Linked DNA regions of Xenopus tropicalis. The protein of the gene in region 1 purifies or fractionates together with the protein of each later gene. This does not show direct contact. Links are inferred from orthologs where the notes say so. Each region holds a gene or a part of one and is shown in the gene's direction. Other genes may lie near its edges.

The links. The genes of interacting proteins can lie anywhere in the genome.
Region 2: the proteins of cul4b (region 1) and cops6 purify together in Homo sapiens (affinity purification with mass spectrometry; 8 studies listed by BioGRID and IntAct, counting the BioPlex papers as one, with this or other methods). This does not show direct contact. The link is inferred for Xenopus tropicalis from reciprocal best matches to the Homo sapiens genes CUL4B and COPS6.

What each region holds. Positions count from the first base shown.
Region 1 is NC_030684.2:46,066,165-46,071,275, reverse strand, and holds part of cul4b (cullin-4B), read left to right. Parts: intron 1-756; coding exon 757-861; intron 862-2,243; coding exon 2,244-2,354; intron 2,355-2,455; coding exon 2,456-2,541; intron 2,542-3,693; coding exon 3,694-3,801; intron 3,802-5,111.
Region 2 is NC_030679.2:144,242,134-144,246,126, reverse strand, and holds the start of cops6 (COP9 signalosome complex subunit 6), read left to right. Parts: upstream 1-1,193; 5' UTR 1,194-1,214; coding exon 1,215-1,266; intron 1,267-1,534; exon of another isoform or gene 1,535-1,621; intron 1,622-2,625; coding exon 2,626-2,751; intron 2,752-2,842; coding exon 2,843-2,974; intron 2,975-3,993. UniProt on the Homo sapiens protein: Component of the COP9 signalosome complex (CSN), a complex involved in various cellular and developmental processes.

The sequences.
Region 1 (5,111 bases):
TATATTTTATTAATACATTTGCTTAGTGTGGGAGGTGTTTTATCAGTGTTGTATCAATGTGTATATTTTATATCCCCCACAACCCTGAAATTTATTTTTTTCCCTGTACATAAGTAGTCGAAACATATTCTGTTGCAAAGTAATGTTTATCTTTAAAAGGGTTGTTTACTGTTATTAGAGGTTGGAAATATACAAATTGATACGGTCATTTAAATCATATTTGCTTTAATTAAAAGAAAAAAAAAGGAAAATTTTTCAAAATGGCTACCTGTAAAGTTTGTGCTGCATAAAGTCTTGTTGCTGTGCCAGCCAGAGGGCTCATATTCCAGGAAGGGGCAGGCAGTGCTCACTACTGTGCCTGCACCTTCATTGTTCCGATTGGCCGAATCACACCAGCCAATCAGATTTCCGATATGCAAATTAATTGAGCATCTGCAGTAGCAATCAGCTCCTTTACTACACTGCTTGTAAGGTCGGAATGACATGGACAGAATCTTACACAGCCAGGGTGTCGTGAACCCCCCTGGCTTGGGCAGAGAAGAGAGACCTAGAGATCTATGCAGCATTACCTTTTTTCAACTAAACCAAATTGCAAATAGGATTTAAATGAGTGTATCTATTTATATTTCAAAGCTGTAATAATGGTAAACCACCCTTTAAAACCACATAACCACTTCCTCATGGATGTAGTATTTCATATGACAGAACCTAAACTTTGAGCAAGGTATGATGATTTTATCATCTTCTGTATTTTAGCAAAATATGTTGATTCTAAACTTCGGACTGGGAACAAAGAAGCCACGGACGAAGAACTTGAGAAGATGTTGGATAAAATTATGATCATTTTTAGGTTCATTTATGGTATGTGGAACCAAAATTATTTATTTATTTATTTTATTGTAAGTTTAACACATGTATACCAACCTCTAAGTAAGCAATACTCATTTAACAAATGTGATATGCATGGGATAATAAAAAATAAGCATACCCTTTCTGTATCAAGTAGTTCACTGTCTTATGAGCTTGTGCCAAGTAGAGTTGGAACCAAATTTATAGGGGGGGGGAGGGGGTTTTCCAGGTTACGAATATTCTTAAGCTATAGAGAAAATACGTTAGCCTTTTAATAAAGCAGCCTTTCTGCCATTTACAACAAATGCTATGGGCTTAATAAGAATTTTTTTTTTTTTTTTATTATTTTTAAAGGCAAACTAAGCGCTGGCAATCTTTCTTTTTGTGTATAAATAATGGCTTTTTATCGTTTCTAGCAGCTGGTCAACTCCAGAATGTGGGTTAGACCGAGCGCTGGCACAAGAGTGTTTCTAGCAGCTGGTCAGCGCTACAGTGCGGGTTAGATTGAGCGCTGGCAATTTCTTTCTGTGCTATGGGCTCAATGTATAAGTTAAGGCACAGTTATCAACATCTTAACACCACCAAAATTGAGAATTAATAAGAACCTGGCATCTTGGTTGTTTTTATCCTATATGTTAAAATCTTCATTTGTTGCAGCCAGTGTGTTATCAGCTCTGATTTCTTTGTCCATCTTTATCTAAATGAGGCCCCACCTTTCTGTCATGTGCAGTGGAGCCTTAGATCATGCATATTCATGAACTGCTTCCAAAAAGTTCAAGTGCATATATCATGCTTTCTAGAAATAATGCACAATAAAGCAGTTTTTCTCCCAGTACTCTTAGGGGCCCATTCGTTAAACACATTTTTGCTGGTTAAAAGCATGATTGGAAAAGATTCTGAGTAACCACAAGAATTTCTGATGTACGAAAATTCTTTTCTCGGTCGTACCAAAATATTGTGGTTGCGATCCGAAAGTCACAATTTTCAGATCTGAACGATTGTAAAAAGCGCGAAAACCTTTCTGGCTTTTAAACTTCAATGTATGATTTTGGAAGCCTTCCATAGGGATCAATGGCACTCTACAGATCCAACCTGGCCAAAAGATAGTCACAATACCAAAGCTTGAATTCCGAAATGGTCGTAGCCTTTGAGAAAAAATATGACTTTTTCGTGGAAGTAATTTTAACGATATTATCATGGACATTCTGGGAAAAAATTTGTGCTTTTGTGAATGGGCCGTTAGACTACTTGCATTCCCTGGTGTTATTGGGCCTTTAAGGCATTGATAGGATATGGGTGTGTTTAAATTAGAAATAATGTACTTCTAATGTTTTTACAAATTGTATTGTATTTATATTGCCAAATAGAGTTGGTAAAAAAAAATTTTTTTTTAGGAAAGGATGTATTTGAGGCCTTCTACAAGAAAGATTTGGCAAAGAGGCTGCTAGTTGGTAAAAGTGCATCGGTAGATGCTGAAAAATCTATGCTTTCCAAATTGAAGCATGGTAAGCATGAAATATTGCTCGATAAGTATTTTTCCTATCATTTTCCAGTGTAGTGTCTGTGTGTATGTAATTATATTAAATATATAGTATCTCCTTTACAGAATGCGGAGCTGCATTTACCAGCAAACTTGAAGGAATGTTTAAAGACATGGAGCTGTCTAAAGACATAATGGTTCACTTTAAGCAGGTACATGATTATTATTATATTTTATAGAGTGCCTGCATATTCCACAGTGCTTTACACTCATAATGCATCATTTACATCAGTCCCTGTCTCAGTGGAGCTTAAGCTTCCTAAACAAAAAAAAGCACACTGTATTATTCTGGGCCTGGGGTGGGTAGAATGACAGGACAAAAAAAATACTAGTCTCCAGACACATTTAGTCTACATAAGTATTTAGGGTGTTGACCTCACTAGTGCCATGGCAAGGAGGTGTATCTGCTGACTAATATATTTTATTGATGCAACATCACTTAGAATATATGTTTTTACATAGACTGCTTATAGACCTTATTAACTTGCTCTTTGTTACCTTTTATAGACCTACATCCCAATAGACATACATTTTCTGGATAACACTGTAATTTATCTATATAATATTGAGCACTAAGTTTGCCTAGTTGCAGTAACCCCTAACTACTTGACTGGGTCTATACGTGATTAGATCTGCAAAGAACTTCCATATTAGTATTAAATATCTGGTAACAGTAGTTGTTTCCTCTGGCCCACCTCTGCTGTAGGTATTCTACCAAGGGGACTGGCAAAAGTAGTATTAGAATGATTTTTTTTTTAAGCCTCTTAGCCTCTTGTATAAATAAATTTAAAGCAACTGGACTTGTTAAGTAATCATTGAAGACGTTTCACTACTCATCCGAGCAGCTTCTTCAGTTCAAATGACTTCCCATACCAGTCATTTGAACTGAAGAAGCTGCTCGGATGAGTAGTGAAACGTCTTCAATGATTACTAAACAAGTCCAGTTGCTTTAAATTTATTTATACTAGATATACCATGACCTGGATGAATGAAAATCTTCATAGACACTCTTAGCCTCTTGCATTTATGGGAAAACTGCTGGCCCAAGGCCCATGTAAACATCTTTCATTGGTGGCTATGCTTTTTAGTGTTACTACTTATTTGTGCAATTGGACATTTTATTCTTATTGGAAATGTTTTGACAGGATTTACAGTGTTTGTGCCATTTTTCCATGTTTACATACACATAGCAATGCATGTGGCAGTATCAAAGCACAGAAGAAGTTTAATCGCTAGAAAAAATGATAAATGTGTTGTTTTTTTTTGTTTCCTCCCGCCCCCCCCCCCCCCCCCCCTTCCTTCAGTACATGCAGAACCAGAATGTCCCTGGCAACATTGAGCTTACAGTAAATATTCTAACAATGGGGTACTGGCCAACATATGTGCCTATGGAAGTTCATCTACCACCAGAGGTAAGGGTATCTAGACATATACCGTGTACTCATTTTGTGAGCAGTAATATTGCTTGCCATTGAACAACTCATTTCACATTTTTTAAATATTGTCCTATAACTGAATTATATTAACTTGTTTATCCAAAGGTTAATATTTACAGTTAACCTGAATGTTACATAAGCTTGTAATATGCAACCACCTGGTCTCTATATACCCTATGTAACACTCCTCATACAGTTTCCTACTGTCCCTTTTAGTTTTTCTCCCAGCATCTTAAAGGAATACTGTCATGGTAAAACGTGTTTTGAAAAAAAAAAAAAACATATCCGTTAACAGAGCTTCTCCAGCAGAATCCTGCATTGAAATCTGTTTTTCAAAAACAGATTATTATTTTTTTTTTTTATGGCTAGCCATACTCTTAATTTCCCAGGGTGCCACAGCCATGTGACTTGTGTGATAAACTTCAGTCACATTTTACTGCTGAGCTACAAGTTGGAGTGATATCAGCCCCCCCCCCACCCCAGCAGCCGATCAGCAGAACAATGGGAAGGGAGCAAGATAGCAGCTCCCAGTAGATATCGGAATAGCACTCAATAGTAAGAAATCCAAGTCTGGGTTGGGACTCCTCCAGTGACATGGGAGTAGGAGAAACAATAGGTTAGCTGAAAGCAGTTCTAATGTGTAGCGCTGGCTCCTTCTGAAAGCTCAGACTCCGGCACAATGCACTGAGATATCGCCTACACACCAATATTACAGCTAACGAAAATACATTTGTTGGTTCAAGAATAAAAGTTTAAATGGTAGAGTGAATTATTTGCTATGTAAGCAGTGTAATTTAGAAATAAAAATCATGACCGTATCCCTTTTTATTTTAACCCTATTTATTTTGAGTTACGTTCTTTTTGTTTTTAGAACCAATAAGCCACTCATTATCCAGTCTTCATCAACATTAAAGGATAGTCCCAGTCCAAGAACCCATTAACATACCTAAATAACCTCCTTATAAAACCATTGTTATTCCACTCTCAAGAGTTGGATGATCAACCACCAGATGTAATTTCCTTAGTGTTCATTAAAAAAAAATCTTTTCTGTCCATGTCCTCTGCAACTGAGATGTTTCACTATGTCCTGTTTAAGTACATCAACATGACAAATAAATTTCAGGAGCTCAAGTTGCTTCTGAACAAACCAGTGAGAGGGACAATCTAGAATAAAAATATAATATATAGGATATCCATGTATTGCAGACCGGTGCCTCCTGATAGCTCCAGGAGCAGAATACAGACATGTTGGTTTCCAGCTGGAGTTTATTTAAATGAAACTAATG
Region 2 (3,993 bases), on another chromosome or scaffold:
GGAAAAAAAAAATCCATGTTTTTTTTGTAACTAATTTCAGCTTCCAACTTCCTGGTTCTTGCGAGCACTTTTGGGAGGAAAAAAGTAGTTCATTAGAGCACGGGGGAACAGATTACCCATCAGCGTATCTGTTCGACAGACACAACAAACTGTGGGAGGGGGTTGTTTATACATAACTTACTATCTCCATGAAACGGCAAGTCACTAGTTAGCATTTACCATATATCCCCCGGGAGAGACTGAATTTTTGTATAAGGTCTAGGCTTAATTTAAAAGAACACTGACATGGGAAAACATGTTTGTTACAAAACCCATCAGTTAATAGAGCAGAATCCTGCATTGTAATCTGTTTTTCCCATGGGGCTAGCCATATTCTTCATTTCCCAGGGTACCACAGCCATGTGACCTGTGCTCTGATAAACTTCACTCACACTTTACTGCTGTGCTGCAAGTTGGAGTGATACCACCCCCCCCTCACCCCCAGCAGCCAATCAGCAGAACAATGGGAAGGGAGCAAGATAGCAGCTCCCAGTAGGTATCAGAATAGCACTCAATAGTAAGAAATCCAAGTCCGGCTTGGGACTCCTCCAGTTACATGGGAGTAGGAGAAACAATAGGTTAGCTGAAAGTAGTTCTAATGTGTAGCACTTGCTCCTTCTGAAAGCTCAGACTCAGGCACACTTTACTGCTGCGCTGCAAGTTGGAGTGATACCCCCCCCTCACCCCCAGCAGCCAATCAGCAGAACAATGGGAAGGGAGCAAGATAGCAGCTCCCAGTAGGTATCAGAATAGCACTAAATAGTAAGAAATCCAAGTCCGGCTTGGGACTCCTCCAGTTACATGGGAGTAGGAGAAACAATAGGTTAGCTGAAAGCAGTTCTAATGTGTAGCGCTGGCTGAAAGCTCAGACTCAGGCACAATGCACTGAGATGGCGCCTACACACCAATATTACAGCTACAAATACATTTGTTGGTTCAAGAATAAAAGGTTAAATGGCAGAGGGAATTATTTGCTGTGTAACAGTGTCATTTAATAAATAAAAAGTTCCCCATAAATATCATGACACAATCCCTTTAAGCCCTATAGCCAACATTGCCACAGACCCCCTTGTGTGACTGACATGTTTAGGAAGCCAGGCTATCACATGATAACCGAAAGGCACCTTGGGAAATGCGCAAGCTTAGTAAAGAGCCACAGTGCAGGGTGGAGCAAGATGGCGGCGGCTGCTGCTTCGAACGGCAGCGGGATGGAGGTGGACGTCGCCGGTGAGTATGTAAAGCGCTTGGCTATTGCAAAATGCAGCAGGAGCAAAACAGTTCGCTCTCATATGGAGTTTATGAAAATACACAGGAAGACACCGGCTTTACGCTGAAATCGTTACAGTGAAGCCTATAGGTCTCCATTGGATGCGGGCTTGCCTGTATAGCGTGTGGACTGGTTGTCCGGATAAGGAGGAAATGAGTGGCGCAGCGCCATTGGCTGTGCCAAACGTCAATCAATGGAAACAGGCGCGCAGTAACGTGAAGCGCTGAAGTGAAGCTTTATGTGTGTGAGGGAACAACATGGCTTCTTGGGAGTATTCACATAAATACAGACTTTGAGTTGTGACAGGAAAATCATGTGTAACCAAAATAATGACTGAACTATTACATGCTTCCCTGTGTATTACAGTCTGGCTGTATTTCTGCCAGGGCCAAACATGGCTGCCCAAAGGGCAAAGCCTTCTGCTCTGTCAGAGAAAACACCTGAGGGCAGATACTGTTTGTTTAACTATTCACTGGTAATATGAGCCAGACCTGTCACTTTATGAGGAGAAAAGAGTGACCATAGCTGGTCCAAAACAAATGTAACAATATCTTATAGGTATAGGACCCATTATCCAGAATGCTCAGGACCTGGGGTTTTCTGGATAAGGGGTCTTTCCGTAATTTGGATCTCCTACGTTAAGTCTATTAAAAAATAATTTAAATAAACCCAATAGGATTGTTTTGGCTCCAATAAGGGGTAATTATATCTTAGTTGGGATCAAGTACAGGTACTGTTTTATTATTACAGAGAAAAGGGAATCATTTAACCATTAAATAAACCCAATAGGGCTGTTCTGCCCCAATAAGGGGTAATTATATCTTAGTTGGGATCAAGTACAGGTACTGTTTTATTATTACAGAGAAAAGGGAATCATTTAACCATTAAATAAACCCAATAGGGCTGTTCTGCCCCAATAAGGGGTAATTATATCTTAGTTGGGATCAAGTACAGGTACTGTTTTATTATTACAGAGAAAAGGGAATCATTTAACCATGAAATAAACCCAATAGGGCTGTTCTGCCCCAATAAGGGGTAATTATATCTTAGTTGGGATCAAGTACAGGTACTGTTTTATTATTACAGAGAAAAGAGAATCATTTTCAAAAATGTGAATTCTTTTATTAAAATGGAGTCTATAGAAGATGGCCTTTCCCTAATTCGGAACTTTCTGTACTAGGAAAGCAGCATTAAATGTGTAGAATATGATAAATGCCCACAGTATAGAAGGTAGCTTTTTTTGATATTATTGTACAAACTTCCCCTATGTATTTTTTTTACTAGAACTGTTATTGAACATTTTGTCGTTTCTTTCCTAGCCTTCCCCACTGTCATGGCGCAGGGGGTAACTGGCAGCGTGACAGTTGCGCTCCATCCCCTCGTCATCTTGAACATCTCCGATCACTGGATACGCATGAGATCCCAGGAGGGGCGCCCGGTGCAGGGTAATGTGCCACTATCCCTTCCTCTCATTTCTTCCTATGGATCCTGAGGCTTCACCCACTTACTGACCCCCCTTCCCTCTCCCACCCACAGTTATCGGAGCCCTAATCGGGAAGCAGGAGGGCAGAAACATTGAGGTGATGAACTCGTTTGAGCTGCTTTCTCAGATTAACGAAGAAAAGATCACCATTAATAAAGAGTACTATTACACCAAGGAAGAGCAATGTAAGTGCTTATGTGCCACTAGGGGCACGTACATGTTATAATTCCCACACACAATATGGAAATGGTCATCTTTTAATCACTATATAGCACCTAAAAATGTTGGGCTTAGTACAGGGGAATCCCTATGCTGCCATAGTTTTATGGTATCTCTCTGTACAGGCTATGAGCAAACTTAGGGGGCTGTTCCTGCTGAATTGTGCTTAGTACAGGGGAATCCCTATGTGCCATAGTTTTATGGTATCTCTCTGTACAGGCTATGAGCAAACTTAGGGGGCTGTTCCTGCTGAATTGTGCTTAGTACAGGGGAATCCCTATGCTGCCATAGTTTTATGGTATCTCTCTGTACAGGCTATGAGCAAACTTAGGGGGGCTTAGTACAGGGGAATCCCTATGCTGCCATAGTTTTATGGTATCTCTCTGTACAGGCTATGAGCAAACTTAGGGGACTGTTCCTGCTGAATTGTGCTCAGTATAGGGGAATCCTTATGCTGCCATAGTTTTATGGTATCTCTCTGTACAGGCTATGGGCAAACTTAGGGGTCTGTTCCTGCTGAATTGTGCTTGGTACAGGGGAATCCCTATGTGCCATAGTTTTACGGTATCTCTCTGTACAGGCTATGGGCAAACTTAGGGGGCTGTTCCTGCTGAATTGTGCTTAGTACAGGGGAATCCCTATGTGCCATAGTTTTACGGTATCTCTCTGTACAGGCTATGGGCAAACTTAGGGGGCTGTTCCTGCTGAATTGTGCTTAGTACAGGGGAATCCCTATGTGCCATAGTTTTATGGTATCTCTCTGTACAGGCTATGAGCAAACTTAGGGGGCTGTTCCTGCTGAATTGGGCTTAGTACAGGGGGATCCCTATGCTGCCATAGTTTTACGGTATCTCTCTGTACAGGCTATGGGCAAACTTAGGGGGCTGTTCCTGCTGAATTGGGCTTAGTACAGGGGAATCCCTATGCTGCCATAGTTTTAAGGTATCTCTCTGTACAGGCTATGGGCAAACTTAGGGGGCTGTTC